4 linked regions of the Arabidopsis thaliana genome follow. The protein of the gene in region 1 interacts with the protein of each later gene in a pairwise test. Each region holds a gene or a part of one and is shown on either strand. Other genes may lie near its edges.

What was found.
Region 2: the proteins of GIS (region 1) and AT3G19070 interact in a two-hybrid assay, tested with the Arabidopsis thaliana proteins (one large-scale study listed by BioGRID).
Region 3: the proteins of GIS (region 1) and TGA9 interact in a two-hybrid assay, tested with the Arabidopsis thaliana proteins (one large-scale study listed by BioGRID).
Region 4: the proteins of GIS (region 1) and AT1G68240 interact in a two-hybrid assay, tested with the Arabidopsis thaliana proteins (one large-scale study listed by BioGRID).

What each region holds. Positions count from the first base shown.
Region 1 is NC_003074.8:21,505,008-21,510,033, forward strand, and holds GIS (C2H2 and C2HC zinc fingers superfamily protein), read right to left. Parts: upstream 2,733-5,026; 5' UTR 2,600-2,732; coding exon 1,838-2,599; 3' UTR 1,565-1,837; downstream 1-1,564. UniProt on the Arabidopsis thaliana protein: Probable transcription factor required for the initiation of inflorescence trichomes in response to gibberellin (GA). Mediates the induction of GL1 expression by GA in inflorescence organs and is antagonized in its action by the DELLA repressor GAI.
Region 2 is NC_003074.8:6,591,160-6,596,275, forward strand, and holds AT3G19070 (Homeodomain-like superfamily protein), read left to right. Parts: upstream 1-2,613; coding exon 2,614-2,782; intron 2,783-2,862; coding exon 2,863-3,606; intron 3,607-3,690; coding exon 3,691-3,818; downstream 3,819-5,116. Other genes in the region: AT3G19055 (uncharacterized protein), read left to right, coding at 1,157-1,248, 1,337-1,461, 1,543-1,615, 1,732-1,783; AT3G19080 (SWIB complex BAF60b domain-containing protein), read left to right, coding at 4,923-5,116.
Region 3 is NC_003070.9:2,621,974-2,631,071, reverse strand, and holds the start of TGA9 (bZIP transcription factor family protein), read left to right. Parts: upstream 1-2,477; 5' UTR 2,478-2,789; intron 2,790-3,143; exon of another isoform or gene 3,144-3,251; 5' UTR 3,252-3,341; intron 3,342-3,350; exon of another isoform or gene 3,351-3,564; 5' UTR 3,565-3,620; coding exon 3,621-3,727; intron 3,728-4,203; coding exon 4,204-4,298; intron 4,299-4,799; coding exon 4,800-4,882; exon of another isoform or gene 4,883-5,259; coding exon 5,260-5,469; intron 5,470-6,148; coding exon 6,149-6,187; intron 6,188-6,347; coding exon 6,348-6,407; intron 6,408-6,738; coding exon 6,739-6,816; intron 6,817-6,975; coding exon 6,976-7,024; intron 7,025-7,129; coding exon 7,130-7,401; intron 7,402-7,622; coding exon 7,623-7,844; intron 7,845-8,637; coding exon 8,638-8,780; intron 8,781-8,871; coding exon 8,872-8,959; 3' UTR 8,960-9,098. UniProt on the Arabidopsis thaliana protein: Together with TGA10, basic leucine-zipper transcription factor required for anther development, probably via the activation of SPL expression in anthers and via the regulation of genes with functions in early and middle tapetal development.
Region 4 is NC_003070.9:25,573,751-25,578,823, forward strand, and holds AT1G68240 (basic helix-loop-helix (bHLH) DNA-binding superfamily protein), read right to left. Parts: upstream 2,380-5,073; 5' UTR 2,317-2,379; coding exon 2,086-2,316; intron 2,009-2,085; coding exon 1,940-2,008; intron 1,843-1,939; coding exon 1,777-1,842; intron 1,689-1,776; coding exon 1,536-1,688; coding exon of another isoform or gene 1,530-1,535; exon of another isoform or gene 1,468-1,529; coding exon 1,429-1,467; 3' UTR 1,114-1,428; downstream 1-1,113. Other genes in the region: AT1G68238 (uncharacterized protein), read left to right, coding at 731-928. UniProt on the Arabidopsis thaliana protein: Transcription factor involved in somatic embryogenesis. Acts as a positive regulator of somatic embryo formation. Acts as a positive regulator of ECP63 by targeting its promoter and inducing its expression.

The sequences.
Region 1 (5,026 bases):
CTTATAATTCCCAACTAGTATTGTTTGTTTGTAGCTGAGGAACTGTTCCTGGAGGTCAGATACGTCTTTTAATTCTTTTCTGTATTTTTGTTTTGTTACTACTCTTGGTGACAATTGAAACATCCTTATTGCAAAATTTATGTTGAAACGTGTCCATAAAATTTATCTGAAAAACCTTATCACTTCCCTTATGATCTACAGGCTGAAGTTGCACCATCTGTTCCCTTCCCTGTTTAACTGATGGAGACTGTTCCGCTACTAAAGTCTCCAGGTCCGAAAATAGCAACGTCGCTATCTGCATGAGCCTCTCAAACTTATCTATAGCTTTAGGTTGGTGTCACTGATATTGCTAATGTTAGTTATATCTTAGCCATACCGTGTTTAAATACAATTATTTTGATAGACAAAAAGTACAAGCAAGAGTTTTTGCGATGTTGCATCTACCTGCATTTTCTCAATAAAGTGTCCAAAGATGTCGTTTTGGCATGTCATTTTCCATTTCCTTTCATAGGAGACTTGATTGAATCAGATTAGTTGATTTCTAAAAGAAACCATATATATGTAACCATCACCATGTTGTTGCATAGTGCATTATATTGGTGGAGGTTGTGAATTAATGCTTGTGATATTCTTTGATTAAAGTCTTGTCAAATGTGGAAACTCGTATGTTCTTCTGGATCAAAGTCCTAGCTACGTTGTCATCTATATTTATGTTTTGATTTGATAGTTTAACATAAAAATAAAATAAAATAAACTACATGGTTAATTAGGTACAAGGATTTTCCCATGTTTTGTCTTGAAAACCATTTCGGGTCATTGACATTCTCTGATATCATTAGTAGTTTTGTATTTGTCCTTTTGAATGCAACAGGACCAACCCGTCATAATCAATCTCGTGGCATCTGTTAATTGGAGTTTACGGTATGTGAATCACAACTTTTTTCAAGTTCATTGATTGAGATATATATAGACTATAGAGGCTGTTGTCTTGTTGGTATTCTTTGGATTACCTAAAAGAAAAGTTAAGAAATAAACACAAAAGTAGAAAGCTTGAGGAATTTTGCTTTGCTTTAGCTCCTTCTTTATGTTCTTACTCGAAATTGCAAGTTACGAGAATAGTAATTACATTAAGTACAGATGAGAAATCTCTATCGTAAACTCTACATCTGTGTGTTTATGGACCACTTCACTCACTTTGTTTCTCTCTATACCCTTTTGTCTTGTCCATTGTCTTCACTTACCCACACGCACCAAATTATCATCATTGGCATCATCTAAAATTATTACCTAGCTACTTATTACCCATCTTGAGTTTTATTTGTTTCAAGGAGATGGCGATGAGTACAGTGTCCATTAGATTCGTTTCAAACCCTCGTAAAAAGATTTGTACTCGAGAGGTTTAATTTTTGTTTTTGTATTTGTTACTTGTTAGTTCCGTACAGTAAAGATTCTATCATTTTATCGTTGAAATTCTATCTGAGTCACTGTGCGGTTATAGTTAAATACCCTAGTAACTAGTAAGCACTGCTATGAGTCTATTACTGACAATTTCCCTGAACCAAAACGATAGTGTTCGAAGCTATATTAAATGTGGACACGTAAATTCATAAATTCCCTTCCTTCATTCAAGCACGTATGGGTAAAAAAAGAAAGATCGATGCCGTGAATCTTACACATCGTGCCGTTTCTTACCTTACAAAACATTCAATAAGGGAATAGGTATAGATAATAAGAAGTCTAATCGTTAAAGATTACGTAATATTCAATAACTTAGGTTGTTTTTTCTTGCACTAAGTTACATAACACTCAATAAGAGTTTTATTTTGTTTTCAAATCTTTAAAGATGAAGATCGAGACTCACATGATCTTGCACGTTAGGGCTCAATCCGTAACCGTACGATGACATTCTGTTCTGAGCAGCGGAGCCACCCACTTGCGATGATAGTTGAGTTTGAGAACGGGTCAACAACGGTAAAGTCGAATTAGAAGAAGAAGAAGAGCCATTACTAGTAAACGCTGCGTTTGAGTTATAAACGCCTTGAACGCGAGGCGGTAGACGCCATAGTCCTAACTGACTCCCATAGCTGGGTCGTGTATAATACCCCGACGGCTTAGGACCAGAAGAAAATCCTCCATAGGACCTAGCCGCGGTTAACGGACCATTGGTCCACGACGGGTAATGACGGTAACTGTAAGGGTTATTGTCAGGATGATAAAAGTAAGAGGAAACACCGCGTTTGGCAAGCTGACGTTCGCGTTTGTGAGCGTTTTGGTGTCCACCTAGGGCTTGTGAAGTAGGAAAATTTCTAAAGCAATAGTGACACTCGAATCTCCTGTTGTGGCTGATGCTATTATTGTCCGTACTGTTGTCTCCGGTTTGGTCTTCTTCCTCTTCTTCTTCTTTGTTTTTGGTCTGGTAAGGATCGGTGTAGTCTTCTTGACCGGTAGTAATAGAGAAATCTCTGCCGGTGAAATCTTTTCCGAAGACACGAATGGGTTTAGGGTTCTTATCTTTAGGACGGCGAATGAAAGGAAGCTGAGAGAAGGATTCGACGTTCATGAAATCTTGAGTTTCTGTTTCTCCGGTAGCCTCGTCCATAGAGAGAGAGTCAGAGAGATAAAAAGACTGGGCGATATATAGAGTTATGAGGCTTTAGAGAGATAGATAAACATTTATATAAAACTGATTGGTTCTTATTTTTTATGGCAATTCATTAAATTTTCTATTTGTTGTATGTCAGAAAGGTTGATTGATAGCTTCTAATTATCAAAGAGCTAAAGAAAGGTTGATAGCTTATCCTTGGTCTCTTAAGACTTAAGAATGATGAACGGATTGAATATAATATTATATGTAAAAGTCGCAATATTATTCACTAACGGTGTGGAATTAATTGTGTTAGATTGTATCGGATGAAGATTATGGATCTATAATGCATGATCTATGATAGATGCTTAGACAGACGCAAGGTTGTTGGAGGTTAAATTATTGACTTCGATTATATATATATACACGAATACATAACATAAAAGCTTCGTATTCATATTTTGATAAATTACTAATTAAGTATATAGTTTTCTCCGAGAAAATGTACTTCTCCATATTCATATTTTGGTTTTTCTAATTTACATAGTGGATGGGTGGCATTTTCGTAAATATGGTAGTTTATTTTGTGTAATTTTATCTGGTACACAATACTTTCTGAAAAAATACTTTTTTTTTTTTTGACAAACTCTGAAAAATTACTAGTTCACGAAAATGCCACTGTTTTTTTGCTAAATTTGGTCACAATGAAATAGGTCCTTGAACAAAATGCAATAAATTAGTTTTTTTTTGTATATATTCATTTCCCCAACAAACTTCCTTCAAAACCATTGTTCCGCCTGGTTCCTGTGATATCTACTTTTGTTTCTTATTAAATTCCCACAAGTGCTTTTCCAAATAGTGCACTTAATTAATATATAGGACTTACGATTTTTTTCAATTCCAATTTCATTGAGATTTTCAGTTTTTCGATTTTAAAAGAAATTCTATAGCTTTCTCAACCTAATCTAGGTAGTACATATAATATGTAACATATTAGTTAGTTTGGTACAGTTTTCTTTTCGATACTAATAATTTAAGTTTTTGATCAAATTGGTTTTTATTAAAAGAATTAATCATGTCTTGTCTCGGTTCCGTTAATCTTTACCTTTTCTGATTCATATGGATTAGATTCTTTAAGGATCTATTTGCCCACGGGATCTTGATCATGAAACAAATTTTTGTGATGTCGTCGCTCTTCTAAAACTCTTGGACAACCTTTGATCTAAATAAATGAAAGACCCGTTTCAATTTATTTTTTAAAAACAATTGTAAAAAATAAACAATACTGTAGTAATGAAACAGACACGTACAACATTTATGGAGCAGAAAATGGGTCATGGTAAAATTTATGATAAGTAACTAAAAAAAATCTAAAACTAGGTGAAAGTTATCAGGGAATTGGGTTCATTACGAACGTACGTGGGGGTCGGTGTGTACTCACTGATCACACATGTACCCGGATGTTACTATTTATATAGTTCGAAGAGAATTCTCTTTTAGGGACCAGCTTTTACTTCTTTCATTTCTCTTTTCTTGGTTTACTGAACTCTTGACTCATTCCCCCGGCTCATAGAAATTCGGTTTTCTTTTTTGCCATAAAAGTGTGTGCAAAAAAAAAAAAAAAAAAAAAAGTGACACAGTTGAGGGGAATCGATTCCAAGCCTTAATCTAAAAAGAATCTTCTATAAATGATACGAACCCTTATGACGAAAAGAAAATAAAGCAACTTCGATTTTAAAAATACTTAAATTTAAATATCGGTTTAGATATCCCAAAGCACACAACAATAATAAGGTCATCTTAATAGCAAACTAAACGAGAAAGCAAAATTTTCATCGCCTTCATGTGACAAGAATTATAAAAACAATAACATCACATAAAAAAATTCTTTTATTACATAAATTATAAAATATATAAAGTATAAACAAATGCGCCAGTTTAGTCTACATCGAGAGCATAAGCATGAATACAAGAGAAGATTGCTAGTACATCCAGCAAACCACATCAAAATGTATACTTTATAAAATTTCAAGAGAACCAAACAACTTGTGCAACAACACCATTTGATTGCATAGATCCGATTTGTGACCCATGTAGCTGCGAGCAGAGAAAGTATCTCGGTGGGCTTTAGCTGTTGAATAGAAACCGTAAATAACAGTGTTCCTTTAGATTAATGTGAGGTAGACTAAGATGACACGTGTTGGTGAAGAGATTGAATAAGGTTTTAGTCTAGAGCTTTAAAGGTCTAATCAATTTATGTACTTTGGCATTATAATCAAACTGAAACCTCTTCTAAAGCAATATCTACGACAATGTTACATATATATATATATATATATATATTATAGTTTTATAGTTTGTTGGGGGACATCTAAAAGTTTGTTTAGTTTTTCAGTTTCCACTTTTAATAATTTTTGGCATTAAATTAGTTTGTCTAGCCAT
Region 2 (5,116 bases), about 15 Mb from region 1:
GACGAACGAATTCAGGAACTCGAAGTGAAGCAGATGAAAAGAGATGCAGGTAAAAATTTATATATTTTTTGATATCTCTATTTGATCAATTCTTTCTATTGCATGAGAATCATGTCTATTTTTTTATTTTATTTTGCAGTCATTGCCAATGTGTCTAGGATGATAACGGAGTTACAAATGAGAACCATGGAGGAGCGTAGGAATATCGACGAGGATGAGAGGATTACCACCGAGGTACTTAGGAATATGGAAGCGATGAGAAAATAAGTCTAACAACTGATTTTACATCAATAGACTGTTTCTTATACTAGCTACATTGGTATATATATATTAATGATTACTTTTGCTATTTTATATAGGTCATTATTAATGGAGACTCAACTCCTGAACAAGATGTGAGGATCAAACAAGGGTTTAAACCGGATTTATGTTTTTTTTACTTGATCAAGTTTTATTTAAGAAAAAAAATAGTGATTTGCATTAATTTTATCATATGCAATTTTTCAGTTATGAAAAAATAAAGAAAGATTCGTTTAGAGTAATTCAGATTATTAGAGACAAAAAGCACAAAAGCTCAAAAAAGACAAAGTTGGACGGAAAAATCTATATATGATTAAAGCAACGAAAAACAAAGAAAAAATCAAACACACACATTGTGTAATTTTTTGTGTATATGGAAGAATAAAGTGAGGCGATCGGAATGAACATCATTGATCATGCTTTCTCAAATTCTTCTCTGATCCTAAAACCAATAAAATGTTGTGTTAACTTATAAATATCATCCATCAGTTTTTACATTGTAGTGTATCGTCTCTAGTAGAGTTCAGCAGTGATCATGATCATCACTAATAGTTATGGCGTTCAATTTTCGTTTTCTCTAAATGTTTTTAAGAATTATCGAAGGAAACAAATATATACATTAAATGCTTCTTTAAAATATATAAACTCTGTTTAGAATTTCAGTATTGAAATCTAAATTATAGTTTGTTTAGATTTTACTAAAGATCCTAGTACTCCAATAAATACAATCTTTGTATTTTTAAATAACACTGATATTATTGATCTTATCCCTATCATTAAATTCAACGACAAAAGTAAACTTTGTTGCAAAAGAGAAGAAGACTATAATAGAGAGACGACAGATCTCGTTCTCAAGATGGTGCACTCGCATTACACATTTGAAATCCGACAGGCCCGTTCACATTTATTCTTAATTCGTCATCCTCGTCCAGGATACTTTAAGAAGAGGTAATTTCTAGGTTTTTAATGTGTTTTTTCCACTCTGATTTAAAATCCTTTCTTCTCTCCCAAGCTTCCCTTTGCTTTCAATCCCCAGGAGCTGGAAGGATTGTAATGAGTTCGAGCAAGAAATCTCAAAAATCGAATCATTTCCGGAAATAATATCCAGAATTGATGAATATGTTGCACAACTTAAGGAGGAGGTGGCCTATCTAAAGATAGGTATTTATTCAGAGTATCTATTTGATCATTCTTTCTATTTTATTCTCCTTTTTTATCTTTATGTGTTTCATATTCGTGTAGCCAAGGCGATTGTCGAAGAGAGGGCTAGGATTCGCTCCATAAAAAGAGCGGAGGCGCGTAAGGTTTTAGAAAAGTAAGTTTAACAATTGACGACTTTTTAGAGAAATTTTTAATGATATTGACGACTTAGATGATTAATTATGATCATTATCAACCGTTTAATGATTACTTTTACTTTAATAGTTTAAGGCAAACTCTACTCGGGGAGATGAGGAAGAGGAAGGCTGACGAGGATCTATGAGAACTGATGATCACATAAACTTCATGCTACATGCAATAAACGCGGTTAATTGGGTTTTGTTTTTTCTTCAACATCAACCCGACCTAGCTAGGGTATTATCTATATATATGGGACATCTTATCATCTGATCTGCATGTACCTATTTTTATTATTATAAATGCTTCATATATTAAGAAGAAAAGTTGTAGGCTTGTAGCAACCGATTCATAGTGGAAAATCCTTTTTTTTTTTTTTATGAAAATCAGATCGGCCGCAAAAACAACTTTCACCATGCACGAAGCTAGAAACTGCATTGATGTACCGTGTACGCTGTTTTTAATATAAAATAATTGCAGTTTTATTAGTTAGGCTACAAATATGAAATCAGGAGAAATATACCAATTAATGTACGTCCTAATTGCTTGGTATGTTACATAACCTTAAGTTGTATAATATTTATTAATTTATTTTATACTGGAGTTGATAGCTTTAAAAGTTGAGAGCAAAGTAACTTGAGACCATTTTAGAGTTAGCAAAGTAATGGAGAAAATAAGAAAAATCACACGCATGCAGCATGATGTATAATTATTGGAAACATGTATTTCCAAGAAAGTAATCAGTTCTCTGTACGCCTGAATTCGATTTTCATAAAGCTCACTTCCTTGGATTGCTAGAGCAAACATTTATATTGATATCTGCGTTAACATCATAACATGTGGGTTTTTAGTAATTCTCAACAGTATGGGTATTTTTGCTCTCTCTAGAGAGGGTAAATTTGTGATTCCATCTGCAAATTATTCCTCCTATATATATATAGAACGTGATGAATCAAATTTCTTAAGTTGCAAGCCATGACTAATCTTGATGAGTTTCTTGAAGAGCTAAGTTCTATTGAATCACATTCTCAGAAAATCGTGAAGATAGATGAGCATTTAAAAAAGTTGGATGAAGAGACGAAAGAAGATGAAGATGAAGATGCGGCGAAGATAATTCAAGATCGGAGTACCGCGAGAGAAGCAGGTTAATTTCTTCTCCTTCACCTTGTAATTTAAAGTTGTTCCTCTCTCATTCTCAAATCTTGTTGGGTCTTGGAAACGCAGAAATTGCTCTACTTATGGATCTCCGTCAGAACTTTCTTCCACCACCATCGATGTCATCCTCCTCTCTTCAACCACCGTCATCGTCAACTCTCGCACCATCGTCATCATCCTCTCTTCAACCACCCGCACCGTTGATAGACTTCTTTCGGTCATCAGTGTCATACTCTCATCAACCACCGTCATCTTCAACTCTCGCAACATCATCGTCACCGTCTCTTCAACCACCGTCGATGTCATCCTCCTCTCTTCAACCACCCGCATCTTTGAGGGAATTCTTTACGTCGTCAGTGTCATACTCTCATCAGCCATCTTCATCTTCAACTCTCGCAACATCTTCGTTCTTTCCGTCGTCAATGCCATACTCTGTTCGACCTCCCGATTCGTCTGATCGACCATCTTTGAGGGAATTCTTTCCGTCGTCACCATCATCCTCTATTCAGCCACCCGAATCATCATCATCTAAGCGAGCACGGCTTAGTAACATCTTTCCGTCACCTTTATCCTCCTCTCCGTCACCGTTTGTTAACCCGTTTCTCCGTCCGCAGGCCCAAGAACCAACAATACCAAATTTCATAAACCCAATACCACAGATCTCTCCAGGCCTACCTGCTCTATTCCCAAACCCTAACCCTAATCCTAACCCTAACCCAATCCCAAACCCAATCCGAAACCCAGACTTGGTGTGGACAAATAGGCTTCAACTAGTGTTTGATGACGCAGTTGTCAGACTTGGGGGATTATTCAGTATGCAACTTTATAATTTTTTTATTTATTTTGTTTATTCTTTCAACTCCTAACTATTTTCCTAATTTTTTTTTTTTTTTTCAGGTGCAACACCCAAAGCCATAAACGAACTAATTTCTGAAGAGGGTCTCACTGGTGACCAGATCCGTAGCCACTTACAAGTCTTGCGGGATCGTCAAAAGGCTATTGCAGACAAATTAGCCTTGGAGTGAAGAAAATATTGAAGATGAGAGATAGGATTAAATAGAAAGAGTGATAGTATAGAACGTTTCTTTTTCTTTTGTTGTTAATCTTGCATATTACAAACAATTACTATATCATAATAGAATTTATGTTAATGTTGGAGTTATTAAAAAAAAAAAAGTTAACCATAATAACATTCTTACTGTACGCATGAGTGATCATTTATCACAATCTATTAGAGCAACCCCAATGGGTGGGATGATGACAGTCCCTAAAAAACCAAAAAATAATAATATTTTAATTTTTTAACATAGTTTGACAACTAAAAAACCTACACATGTACATTTAATCTTCAGGTCCCTTATATAAGGGTTTTTGGAGCCCTTCTCTCCTGTGTCCCTTCCATTTTAATTATTTTTTTTTTTTTTATATTGTAAGGGACCTTAAGAGAGACCACCATTGCTGGTGCAGGCTGTAGAAAAATTTGTTTAGCTTCTCCTTCTTTTCTTAATTTTGACAGATAAGTCTCAGCCTCTCTCCCCCCATAAGGGTATGTCTTGACATTTAGATTCGTTGAATCAAAAGTTTTTCATGTTTGTTCATATTGTGGTCTAATCTTCTTAGGCAGATATGACCTCAGGGAAGAAAGATTATTATGAGTTGCTCAAAACTACAATCTTTAAATAAATATTTGGGTGATGAAACTTCTAGTTCTTTTTTTTTTTTGGTCTAAAATGAAACTATTACTTCTAGAAGAGAAATATCCAACTCTTTTTTTTATTCCAAGCAAATGATAACCAAAAATGCAATAAAGGTGTTAATTTTTATCATAAATATATTCTAACTATGGTCGTAACTTGTAATGGAACACCTAGGCATTTTTTATTTTTTTGGTGCACACCTAATTCGAGGAAAAAGGTTGAAGTAATCATAATTACATAAGTTTCTAACTATGGTCGTAATCGAACACATCTAAGGCGTAGTAATAATTAAGGAAAAAGGTTGAAGTAGCAAAACGACGAGGTTACGATTTGTAAATTCCATAAATGCCCTCTCTCATTTTCAACCTCAAAGAATCGTTTTTGGCTTTCATCAGCCGCTTCGTATTTTTGTTTTCTTCAGTAACGGAAAAAATGGTTTCCGACTTGGACCTCGTGACCCGACTCCGTGAGATTCTCGGTAGCTCCGACCTGAACACGGCGACTCCGGCAAGCGTCCGTCGTCAGTTGGAGGCGGATTTCGGTGTGGACTTGACAGATAAAAAAGCGTATATTAGGGATCAAATCGATACTTTTCTCGAGAGCAATGGCGCGGTAGAAGACAAACC
Region 3 (9,098 bases), on another chromosome or scaffold:
AATTGGTAATGGCCGGCAACGAACTTGGGTTAATAAAAAAGAAAAGGTTGGCAAGTTACACGTTACAAGAGAGGATGTTGCAGAGAGAAAGATTGAGTGGCGATGAAGAAAAGGGTTAGGAGGAAGGTGCGACGTGGGAATCACTCACTTCCTTATTTGATTTCCAAGTCTTTTATTCATTTTTATATTTAAGCATAACAAGTAGTATTAGAGTGGGTTTTACTCCCCCCTATTTGATAACATCTGTCTCTCTTACTTTTTCTGTATATATGACGTATCTACTGTATTTCTTTTTAACAAGTTTATATTACCCTTTTATGAATTCTAACAAAACAAAAAAAAGTGTGAAAAAAAAAAAACAGAAAAAAACTCTTATCCTTTGAGGCTTTCAGTTTGACCCCAACAAAATAAAATAAAATTACACCATTAACCAAGGTTAAATTACATCAATTGCAGATCTTTGTACCATTGCTACAATCTAACAGCCCAAACGAATATGGGCCTGAAGCAAACCAAATAAGGATGTGGCCCATTTTTACATCATATGACTGTTACCGAATCAGAAAGTCAATGACAATAATGGAAAATATGCAAATTTGACAATTTTCACCCAAGATAATGGTTGTTGAAGAAAATTACACAGGATGAAACATTTAGGCCACGAAGTTTTGAATATTAGGGTTTTGGGCCTCTCGGCTTGTTGGACTTTTTAGATCATGCTAGACCAAAACCGACTACACTATTTTGAGTAAGTAATTCAAAAATCCCAATTCGTTAGAAAACGAGCTTGAGTAGTTGTCCCAAAGTGATTGATCATTGATGTCTACATAATAATATGCATCCTCCATATAAGATTATGGCCGGTATTGGGCTGAGATGGTAATCTAAACATTATTTTGATGCCTTGATGGACAAATTAATATTGAGATTCTATAAAAGCTTAACCGTGAGTTATATACTTCTACCGAACCCAAAAAAAGCATCTAAAGAGCCGTGAAAAATAAATTCTCAATTCGGAGGGGGTCATTATGACACAAACTAAAGGAATAAAGCCATGACAAATGTGGATTTGCAAGAGAGCTGCATTGACTAAAACAGCTATACGAATCAAAGGAGGCATATAACAATTTCTAATAAAGGAAAGGAATCTGAAATGTGGCATTAGGATTTAGGTGATGACAGGGAGTGGATGTTGACCGATCAACAAAATTATAGGATAATACCAAACTAATCAATTTAAATAACACTCGATTGAGATGTTTACAATAATTATTGATAATTTTAATGCTATTTTCTATATTTATTTACGATTAATGCAAGAAGGCCGTTTAATTTTATCTTATTGGTCTACATAATTGTCATTATTCTAAGGCTTTTTTGGTTGAACTGGTAGAGGCAAAATAGTTAATTATTCAATACTTAAGTATGTTAGGTTAACCGACTAGAGAAAGTTGCTCTAGTTCTATTATATCCAAATTTGAAACTTAAAGCCTAAAAGCTGTTAATTTTTGAGAAGAAGAAAAAACTTTCAGAAACTGTTTCACATATTATCACTCTCGGCTTTCAAAAGGTTATAGACTGAAGATGAAACTAAAAAAAAATCTGTAATTATGTATAGTGTGTTACATATAAGTAGACGTATTATATTCATACTATTCTTATCCCTCTCTCTGTCTCAAAGGTCATTTAACAAAAAGAGTTGTAGTTTAGAAATAGAAACTCACTCGATTCTGCTATTTTAATATACATACACAAATCAACAAACATTCCTTATCCCACATTAATGCATTGTCTTTGATTATGAATTTATGATTATGTGTATTAACATTATTTCATCACTATCTCTAGTACTATTCCAATAACAAACTCATTAGATCATCCAAATAATATATATAATTTAGCTTAAACTATAGCTGGGGAGTTGTATTCGATCATTTAGTTATAGTATATATTTGTTTACTAGACTAAAGATATATATATCATTTTTTTTTTGGCAAAAATATAAAGTATATGCTGTATATATCATGCCCATTCAAAGATTCTTGATATAATTCTAGAATTTTCCTGTTAGTTTTCTTTTGGTTTTAGATTAACACACAGACTACTTAGAAAAAATAACTTCATGCATGATCCATGCTGCTAAGATGATAGAGTGAAACCCAATTCTTTTATGCAAATTTCACCACTTTACTTTCACATATACAGATACGTATTTTGATATAGGCATGTACGTGAATACGATGAATAATACTACAGAAAAGATGATAGATTATTGAAAAAATGTGTACGTGAATAAGCCCAAAAAGAGATTTGATGAAAAAGAGCCAATAAGCACAAACAGGCGGTTACAAAGAGAGAGAGAGAGATTGTGGAGTAGGAGTCAGTGATTCTAGTGGGTTCCTCCTCTTTTTCTGCTCTCTTTCTTCTATTTTTATTTTATGGACTAAATTACAAACTCTCATTTAATTTTCTTCTCGCTCAATTTTTTTCTACCTAGAGAAGTCGATAGTTTTCTTAATAATCTACCTCCATTTTCTTGTGATCGGTCCAATTAATCTTATATCCAATCATCTTATTTATCTTCTACATATTGGATAAGGCTCTTTTATTCTTTACCAAAGATAAAGCTCCATTCTTTTTCTTAACAAGGATAAAGCTCTTTTAATTAAGCACTCTTAGACTTTTGATTTTCTGTTTAACTTCTACATTTCAGGTTTGTGTATGAATAGAGATCGTCCACTCCATCTGATCAATTGCCAAGTACTAGCTTCACCCTTGACAGCTATAAAGTTAGTCAACTAAATTTTCAATTTTCTGTACAACTTTTTTGAACCCAATATTATTATTTGGAAAACAAAAAAAAATGCAACACATAAATATAGCCTGGAGACAAAGTCTAGGAAGGACAAGATCTTCGTCTGATTTACCATGAAAAATTATCAATATTTCTTTATTGTTTTCTTCAATAAAATTTTGAAATTTAGCAAGTGGAATTTGTGTTTACTATGGAAATAGATAGAGAAAGGTGGTGAAAAGGAGAGAGTGATGATGAATCACAAAGGTTTCTTCACATACAAGTATAGAGAGAATAGTAATAAAGAGAGAAAGAGTAATGATACTATACATTAGTCAATTACTAATACTTTATTATCATTTCTCTATCCAACTACAAATATATACACGCCCACATAATTTTGTATATGTATCTCGGAAAGAGAAAAGATTGGACCCTCTTTTGTTTTTCTGTTCAGCCATAAAAAAGCCTTTGACGAGAAAGCTTCCATTCTACTTTCTCTCTCTCCTCTTTGTTCTCAAACACCAAAAGCAAAACATCACAAAAGGTAAACACATAGATATCTTACTTTCATGTTCATATCATCAACTAGCTTTTTCTTTTCAAATTCCAATCATTTGATCAACTAATCAAGAATTAATTATAAGACTTTGCAATCTCTCTCCCTCTCCCTCTCCCTAGCTAGTTCTCTCTTGTGTTTCTTAACTCGAGCTTCTCTCAATAGTGATTATCATCTTTTTCATCATTTCAAGATTTAATGTGTTTTGCAGAAAAGAGACTAATCAAGAAGAGATATCATCAATTGAAGCTGTTTTCTTGAGTAGAGATGGCGAACCATAGAATGAGCGAAGCTACAAACCATAACCACAATCATCATCTTCCTTATTCACTTATTCATGGTCTCAACAACAATCATCCATCTTCTGGTTTCATGTAATTAACAAATCTTCCTTCGTCTTTTCTTCTTTACATATACATAAAGCTCAACTTTATTCATATTACATATCTTAATATTGAGCTCTAATTGAATTTTATATGGGTTTTCTTTGTTTATTCTCAATTTGTCATTTTCTTAGTAGTATTATGATATGTTATACGGTTTCATTTATGAGATATGAAATGGTCAACGGAAATCTATAGGTAAAACAGAAACTAAAAAATGTGTTATGGATCATCCGAAATAGGTTTTATATGTGCTTTAGCTTTTGTGTAAACTTTCATTATATGCGACCGTCTTTATTAATCTTCTAACTCAAAATGCGACCCTCTAATCAAGTATTTATATTTTAATTTAATTGTTGTTCCTTTTGGTCTCCAATTTTTCTTGGTTTCTGATTGTATAGTTGTAGTAACACATGATGAATATTCTCTTTGTACTAATTAAACAATACTATTAATAAATGAAACAGTAACCAAGATGGATCGTCCAGTTTCGATTTTGGAGAGCTAGAAGAAGCAATTGTTCTGCAAGGTGTCAAGTATAGGAACGAGGAAGCCAAGCCACGTAAGCCCCCCTCTCTCTCTCAAATCTTCATGACGTGAGCTTTCCTTAACAAACTCCAATAAAGTTTTTAAAATTCTGAGCAAAAAACTGAAACTGGAAAAAACAAAATAAAAAGCTGAGAGTAGTCTGAACAAGTCTTTAGATAGGTTTAGGTGATGATACGGAGGCAAAAGAGAGCCTTGGATGGCGTGACTTGTTTTTCTATTTCTCTTCTCTTTATTTAGAAAATAAGAAAAGAAGAAAATATCTTTTACCAACTCCCTAACTTCCTCTATATCAAAATATTCATAATTATACTATTAGTAAAATGTGTCATGTTATATATAGATTCCACGTGATAAATGATGTAGTTAGTTCTAAGTAGAATATATTGTAGTACTACTTAAATTACATCAAAAACACATATACATGCATGCACACATTTAATAAGTAGCTAGCATACTACATGATTACATATGAACATTACATATCTGATAAATGTAATGATGGGTAAAATTGCAGCTTTATTAGGAGGAGGAGGAGGAGCTACGACTCTGGAGATGTTCCCTTCGTGGCCAATCAGAACTCACCAAACTCTTCCTACTGTACCCTTTCTTCTTCTTTGACCCTTTCCTCTTGTTTTTTTCTCCTTTTTCGGCATTCCTATTTAAACTTAAAACTTATATTTTCATTTTACCCTCACTTTTATATACATGTTTCAGCTTTCTTGTTCCTCTTACTATCTCTTATTTTTGCTTCTTTCAACTCAAAAGCTGATAGCGATTTTAGAGTAGTTAATTACTCCATTCCTTTCTCTTGACTTTATTTTATATTACATAAACTTATAGTACCCCGTTTGTCAAATTATATACGCTAAGGTCAATTCCTCCTTAGTTACATTGATTATCCCTTTTCTGACTTTTTATTAATTATCTTATACGTTAATGATGATGAGTATGATTATGTTGAATATGTATTGCAGGAGAGTTCCAAGTCAGGAGGAGAGAGCAGCGATTCAGGATCGGCTAATTTCTCCGGCAAAGCTGAAAGTCAACAACCGGAGTCTCCTATGAGTAGCAAACATCATCTCATGCTTCAACCTCATCATAATAACATGGCAAACTCAAGTTCAACATCTGGACTTCCTTCCACTTCTCGAACTTTAGCTCCTCCTAAACCTTCGGAAGATAAGGTACTCATCATCATCATCATCATCATCATCATCATCATCACTTTTTAAAATTTAATTTTAGAAAGAGATATATGCATGGTACGTACTTGGAGTCATCATGAAACATGCATGCTTAATTTGGTGCATGTACATGGTATGTATATCATTAGCCTATCTCTCTCTCTCCTTGTCATTTGATAGATATGCATGCACATGCTTTTTCATATATGTCTATGTCCTAACAAATCTTTCCAATAAAACAAAAACATACACAGATCCCAAAAAGGAAACGGATCAGAGAAAATTCAGAATTTTGACCTCTCGAATCGTTGATAAAATAATGAAAACAGACAAATTTAAAATACAAATTATTAAATGAAATCCCCAAAAAGCGGAATAAAGCAGAAGAATCTTCCTAGGTGTTATTATTGTTTTTATAATTTACTTTTTACTACATGATTACATATCCTCATTTCTATGTTTACTTTAACAACACATATATTCCCTAAATGAGTTCATATTGCTTAGATTTAATATTACATTAAAAAAAAGTATTTAATAATGCTGTTTTTTTAATTGTGTGTAAATGGTATTTAAATATTTATCACATGAGTCGACTTCACTCACACAATTTAATTTATGTTTACTTTCTTTCCACTGAATGAATTTCTATTTTCATCTCTGTTCTCTGACATTGCAGAGGAAGGCTACAACTTCAGGCAAACAGCTTGATGCTAAGGTACTTTAACTTTCATCATCATCATTTCCTATACATTTTATTTGACTCCCCCGAGGAGACATATCCATTCCTATATATGTACTTACTTTTTAGTAACCTTTTTTACCTGAATTAATTCGTTAACTTCTTGTTTAAATGTTCTTAAATCTGGATTATGCAGACGTTGAGACGTTTGGCCCAAAATAGAGAAGCTGCTCGCAAAAGCCGTCTTAGGAAAAAGGTATGACCATATAATTGCCTGACTTTTCACCTCAAATTATTATCATTTGTTTTTGTTTTTTTGACCTATTTATATATTCTTTGCTACTTTTTCCAAATGATAATTTGTTGCATAGAATTACAATAATGCTATTGCTACTAGTAAAACATACGCAGTGGTGTCTTTTATTCTTCTTGGAAACCGCTGTTACATGAGCATTTATTTCTTTATCTACCATTTACCAGTCTTCTATAATTCATTTATGAACGTATAAGTTCCGCATTTCTTGTTATTCTATATGTAATGATACTAGTATGAAAATAACAAATGCATATACATATGGTTTGAGCAGGCGTATGTGCAACAGCTAGAATCAAGTAGGATAAAGCTTTCCCAATTGGAGCAAGAACTTCAGCGAGCTCGTTCTCAGGTTGAAATTGAATCATTTATATTCCTATAATCCTATATATTCTGCTAAATCTTTTTTTAAATTTGTCAAAACCTGTCATTTGCTAAGTTTCTCAATTGTTCATTGGTTATTAATAATGTCTGTTTGTTGAAATTAATATATTGTTTATGTCGATGGTAGGGGCTGTTCATGGGTGGTTGTGGACCACCAGGACCTAACATCACTTCCGGTACTTGAAACCTAAAACACCAATTGCAATGTATTATTGTATTAAAATAAGTACAATAATGGTTAAACTATTATTAACAAAATGTTGAAAATCGAATGTACGTAGGAGCTGCAATATTTGACATGGAATATGGGAGATGGCTAGAGGATGATAACCGGCATATGTCGGAGATTCGAACCGGTCTTCAGGCTCATTTATCTGACAATGATTTAAGGTTGATCGTTGACGGTTACATTGCTCATTTTGATGAGATATTCCGATTAAAAGCCGTGGCAGCGAAAGCCGATGTTTTTCACCTCATCATTGGGACATGGATGTCCCCAGCCGAACGTTGTTTTATTTGGATGGCTGGTTTCCGTCCATCCGACCTAATCAAGGTTCGACTTGTTCTTCCTTACTTTACCCCATGATTACAAACGTAAGTTTTAGGTTTTGCGTTTGAAAAACAAAATGATATTCACGTTAGTAAATTACATCAACAAATCTGAAACATTGCTGCAAAATGTAAACAGAAATGAGTATTCTTCGGTTTAATTATTTGCGTGTGATAAAAAAGTTGTGGAATCATGATTAACTAAAGAAAGGGATGTGATCTTAGATATTGGTGTCGCAAATGGATCTATTGACGGAGCAACAACTGATGGGAATATATAGCCTACAACACTCGTCGCAACAAGCAGAGGAGGCTCTCTCGCAAGGCCTCGAACAACTTCAGCAATCTCTCATCGATACTCTCGCCGCATCTCCAGTCATTGACGGAATGCAACAAATGGCTGTCGCTCTCGGAAAGATCTCTAATCTCGAAGGCTTTATCCGCCAGGTTCCATTTTCTCACCTATCTTTTTTTTTTTTTTACTTCATTTGCTCGAACAATAATTACAAACGAATGCAAACGAGAGAAAAAAACACCGTGTGAAATATACACAAAATTTGACCTACTATATAACTGTAGATAGTTTTTGACTAAACAAAATTTGCAACGTATTTTGGTTTATAGTTAGAGAGGAATTCGAATATATTTTTTAGAAATATATTGGGTAAATTTTAACGTTTTATATATATACTAGATGTACAAATGTTTAAAAATGCGGAAATACGTGCATATATTTTGCGTACATATATGAACAAACGTATGTGCTGGCTAAATTATCTAATTGAAAAAAAAACAAATAATCCAGAAACAGACAATACGTGAAAGCAACATTTGATGTTCTATAATAATTATATGTTGTTTTGGTCTTTGATTTAATTATTCCAAGAGCCAAATTTCTTTCACCAACTTGTTTTTACCTTTTATATATAATATAGCTGAAAAAAAGACAAAGAGAATATGTTAAAAGTATTCTCCATCTCTTTCAATGTTTTGTTTTGAACTCAACAAAAATATTTTAAAAAAATTTCTTGTTTTCAAACATTATGATCAAATTGATTGTTATTGATATGTATTGACTTTTGTAATACCCATTAGCCCACCAAGGTAGTAAGTAGGTATGCAATTATAATTATTAGTTTTTAATAATATTACCAAAAGAAATATTGAAATAATCTTAAAATGTCAAAAGATGTGATTACTAACTGTAATCTTTTTCTTTCTATTATTAATCTAAATGAAGGCTGATAACTTGAGGCAGCAGACCGTTCACCAGCTGAGGCGGATCTTGACCGTCCGACAAGCTGCACGGTGTTTCCTAGTCATCGGAGAGTACTATGGACGGCTCAGAGCTCTTAGCTCCCTTTGGTTGTCACGCCCACGAGAGTAAGACACATTTTTATGCATATATACATTTCATAGACGTATAATAATGCTAAAATATGAATTTGATATCGGGAATTATCAATGTGAATAGGACACTGATGAGTGATGAAACCTCTTGTCAAACGACGACGGATTTGCAGATTGTTCAGTCATCTCGGAACCACTTCTCCAATTTCTGAATGGAATGAAACTTTGTATAACTAAAAGGCCAAGTTTCATTGTCTGTCGTAATTTCACCTATTTCCTTTAAAGTTGTACTAGAGAAAAGATAGGATCTTCCTTCGACATTCTTCTTTTAATTATAGTTTTATGCTACTA
Region 4 (5,073 bases), on another chromosome or scaffold:
GCTTCGTCAAGGTCACTAGGGATGTTGCTTCACATGCAATCAGCTCTTGATTTCTTACTAGAAAGACTCATCGAGACTCATCTATTTTCTTGTCTCTATTCATGTATTTTTTTTCCGTAAACCAAATTAAGTTAATATATACCTCTTGGTTTTTTGTTTGGATTTTTGTTTATCACTTTTGCTTACTGCTTCTCTATTTTACATCTTTGCATTATTCCGTAACTGTTTACCATTTATTTGTTAGATAGTTCAAATTGTTTTAAGTTGCTAATCAGAGTCTTCTAATCAATTTTTTGAATCTTCAGAAAAACAAATCTCCAAAATATTTTCGTATATCCATACATTCAAAGTCCAAATAGACATCTATGTAAATATAGTCATCTATGTAATTATGTCATTTGTAGTGCTACTTTCTTATATTGTTCTACTTTATGACCACTTTTAAAAACTCGCTCTTAGTTATGTTTTTTTGCTAACTAAGAAATTTTTAATTTATTTTTTAAGACAATCAAGTGGCCGCACACACAATTGGTTAACTACTAGCTTGTGATCCACTGACCCTAGAGTTAAACCAAAGGGCAGTATATATAAGAAAGAGTCGTCGCATCTTTTTTTTGGTGACTTCTGACTCGAAAACGCAAAACCACACATTTGAAAATATGCCAATTACAACTCTCTTTATCAACTAGTCTCAACAATTGTCACAAAGCGATGCACAAAAACTCTTTCAATGGTGAGAGGAGAACTCGCGGTAATAGCGGCGGGTAATGGTGAAGTCTCACTCTACATTTGGGCAGCTGTTGTGGCTTTCTCCGTCATAGCAGCCGTGATTTTCTCATGCAGTGACCGAGCTTCTAAACCTCACACTAACGACGATGTCAATGGATCCAGTTGCGCCGCTGGCTGCGGTGGTGGTTGTGGAGGTTAAACGGGAAGCATTTTTTGTTTACTTTAGTAACATTTAAAGATAAAACTATTTTGGCTTCTTGCTTTAATAAAAAAAGTTAAAGTGTGTAGATAATTTGTAGCCAATGAATGTATTCTGCTTCTTGAATTTAACATTTTAGTGATCTAGTTCGTTTTCTATGATTCAAGATAAAAATTATCAAACTAGGGTTGTAGTAATGTTTGGTACAAACGTACTATTACACGTAACATAACATCTTTGTTGTTTATTTAACTTACATTCAACAAAGAAAAAGGTTGAGCAAAACAGAACATAAATAACAGAGGAACAATGCTCAACCAAAACAGAACATAAAAAACAGGTGTTTTTACATATTGTGGCATCAAACTAAAAGTTATACATAAAACTACGTATGTATTTATGTATCTATGTACATATCTTAGTTTACAAAGACAGTCTATATAAACAGCAACGAGTCTAAAGCCGGAGGGTCTTAAAAAGCCACATAGCTAGAGCTTGTTTTAAGGTTGAGTTTGATTTGGCGGCACTGTTCCATATACCTGTGATAAAAGATTGATGGCAGAAATCAGAATCTGTGGAATCAGATTAAACTTTAATTTGATCAAACCTGAGGATATTGCGGGATATAGGTCATGTTTTGCTGAGGCATCATTGGAACTCCTGGCGTATAATAGCCCCAAGGAGACATACATGGTGCTTGAGCTGCTGCATAAAATGGTGGTGTGTAAACCGGAGTTGTTGTGTATGCCATTGACATAACCTGGACCACATCCACATAACACATAAGAACATATATACTCTAATGGATACAAGTAACTAAATTAAATTAGATATAGTTTAATGCTTACATCTACTTGATATTTCAAACTTTTAATGTATTCAATGATGTTTTCAAGCTTCGATGCAAGGTCCGGCTGTAGATAAACACACAAGAAACTCGATATTCGAAACTTGATATTGTATTAGACTCTAATATATAAAAAATATGGAGTAAATTAAGTAATAGTTAACCTTTGTGCAATGATTAGGCATCAACCCCTGCAAAATATCTACTTTATCTTTGATCTCCTTTCGTCTTTTCTACAAAGTTTAGAAAGCAAAAATATAAATTAGCTAGGGAATCACGTAAGAGAAGAAGGAGATTAAGTCATCTTCACCTTCTCCATCATCATACGATATTCCATGGAACGTTGCCGTTTAGCCATACGGTAACTTTCCTCGTCTGGCTCCTCGTCGTGTTTCTCATGATCATTGTTTTTGGTAACACCGAATATCTCTTGCAAAGGGTTTAATTCACTATGATTTTCTGAACAAAACGAATAAATAATATCAGAAAGCGAACATTGCTCTTCTTCGTGAGTCCCCTCGTTGCGGTTGTTTCTCTCCATTGATGATTGACTAAATTGAGGATTTTGAGTTTGTTAAAGAGTGAAAAGTGGAGGGTTAAGGATAAACTAGTTAGTTCAGCCATAAGCTATATATATATAGGGGAGATACAAGAAGCTTCTTTTGAAAGTTCCAACAATTGAGCGGGAAGCAAAGAAGATGATTTTGCTTCGTCCCATGGTTTTCTCTAACAATTTATTTACTCATTTTCCATTATATTATTATATTTATGTGTTCCACATTTACGCACATCCATTAGACAGAAGAAAACATATATTTTTGTTGTTTTCTTATATTTGCTTTCTTGCTCTTTCTTGAAATTCTAAGAACGGCAGGGGAATAGTGTCATTCTTGTTCATGAACGGCAGTTCTTAATCTTTAGTATTTTATTTTTCTTCTCAAGCTAGCTATGGATACAACAAATTGCATTAAAATTGGAAAAACATTATCTAGTTGGAAAAGAGAACTGTAAAACTCCTATTACAAGTTCGAACAAAAATGACATATTTCAATATTTAAGAATTATTTATTTTGATTGAGAACAAGATAAACTTTCTATTATATCAACAACATGCATGGACATGTCCATGCAAGGGCAAGAAAATGTTTCTAGTCAGAAATTTGTTTTGACCGGCTTGTAACACTGTGCAAGCTAGCTTCTGATGTGATATTTAGAACGTACGTTTGCATATATTTATCGAGTTACGTGTCTCTTCAATACTCATACATATTTTAAGGAGTCATGCACCAAAATCTTTCATATAAACATGTGCTGATCAGAGATCTTGAACTCTCTATCGAATAGCTTCGCCATCGACCCAAATACATAAGACCGTCGTCTGATTACTTCATTGAGACGGGACGTTTTTTATAGCTAGATGTACTATTTTAATTTGGGTTATTTGTGGATACATGCACACTCTCGTTACTTCTCCTTCTTAAATAAACCTCAACCATTTCATTTTTTTCTCTCAACCATTTCATTTTTTTCTCTCAACCATTTCTTCAATATCTCGTATATATTATTTGAACAATTGGAGACAGATAGAAAAAAAAAACGGACAAGCAAAACATATTTGGTTAACCTGCCATCATATGAGCGATTTGAAAGAAAAATAATATAAAATTTCGATTGCCAAGTTTAAAACTAACATTTAATTATGAATGTTTTGGGTGCAACAATGAATATATTTTTTACACTAACATCATTATAGTAACAAATATATTTAATGTTGTAAATAGATATTTGCAATATCATTCAATTTAGTTATAAAAAAAATCATTCAATTAAATTAATTTCTTAAGTTAGTTTTTGTTAAACAATTGAATCTATAACATCATTAACTATTTGTTTTGCTCAAAGATTGAAAATAAAAACAGAAAAAAAAAATGAATTTAAGATTCTCTACAGGCCCAAACCGCGGATCAAATATCTAATATTTAAATATTTATGAAAATATTTCATTTTTAAATCTTTCTTACAAATTATAAACGTTAACGAAAAAACAAAAAAACGTTAACGAGATATGTAAGTTAAAAAAAATCACTTATATATGTTTATCATTTTAGCTACAAAGTTTTTTTTCTTTAAAACAATATTAATATAGTTTTTTTGCCAAAATAATAATATTTATATTATTTATTTTATTTTAGATATAATATAATATATTTCAACACATTTTTTGTTTATGTTCGGAACAATCCTTAGTTTCACAATATAGCTAGATTCTTCTTGGTGATTAATGTGAATTAATATATGATGTTGCGCACTAGAACTAAACACGAAAACATTGCATTTAAACAACCAAAATACTATAAGTTGTTTACGATAAACAATGTAAAACGTTACAACGTTACAGTATACTATACAACAGTGCGAAAACGTACAACAAAGAGCAAGCCACATAGTACTCCTAGTTTCAAATACAACTTGGGAGACCAACTCCTTTACATTAAACAACAAACCATATTATTAAAGAACTTGAGAGAACCGGTCTTTAATACTAAAACATGAACTGGTCTTATATACTACAGCATCTTGTAGTTTACATCGGCTTTGTCGTCTGTGGTTGATTATTGTTGTTGACTCCCTGTAAATTTTTCATTGTCAAGAAAGAACAGATAAATAAAGAACAACTAACAATCACAAAAATATAAACACATGAAGAAGAAAACAAATCAAAACCTGATAAGTGGTAAAGGGTACAAATTGGTTGGCGTAGCCGCTAGTTTCTCCTGGTGCCGGTGCTGCCGGAAAGTGATTGTAATACATCATGTAGTTTGGAGGGACATAATTATAAGGATATACCCATGGTGCCGGAATATCCACCACCCCCATGCCCGGTGGCATCATTAGACCTATTGAGTTTCTCCAATAACTCTGCATTGTTAAATATTGAGTTTAGTCATGATAAATGGTTTTCTTTAATTACTGCTTTTGTCTAATCCAGCAAGTAAGAAATGACATTCACTTAACTATCATATAACATATGATAAACTGAATTAAACAAAACCAATGAAAAAGAAAAATTTGAAACTAAAAAAACATATATGAAATCCTAAATATACATGCATGTCGTGAGATAACAACAATGTGACGATTCAGATTACTTACTTCTACACAAAGCTTCATCTCCCGTATTTTATCGATGATATACTCAAGGCTCGAGTCTAAGTTTCTCTACGTACAGTTCATGCGGATAACAAATTAAAAACAAAGCAAAAGTTGTATTAGTAATATCAGACCCAAATTTATTTTT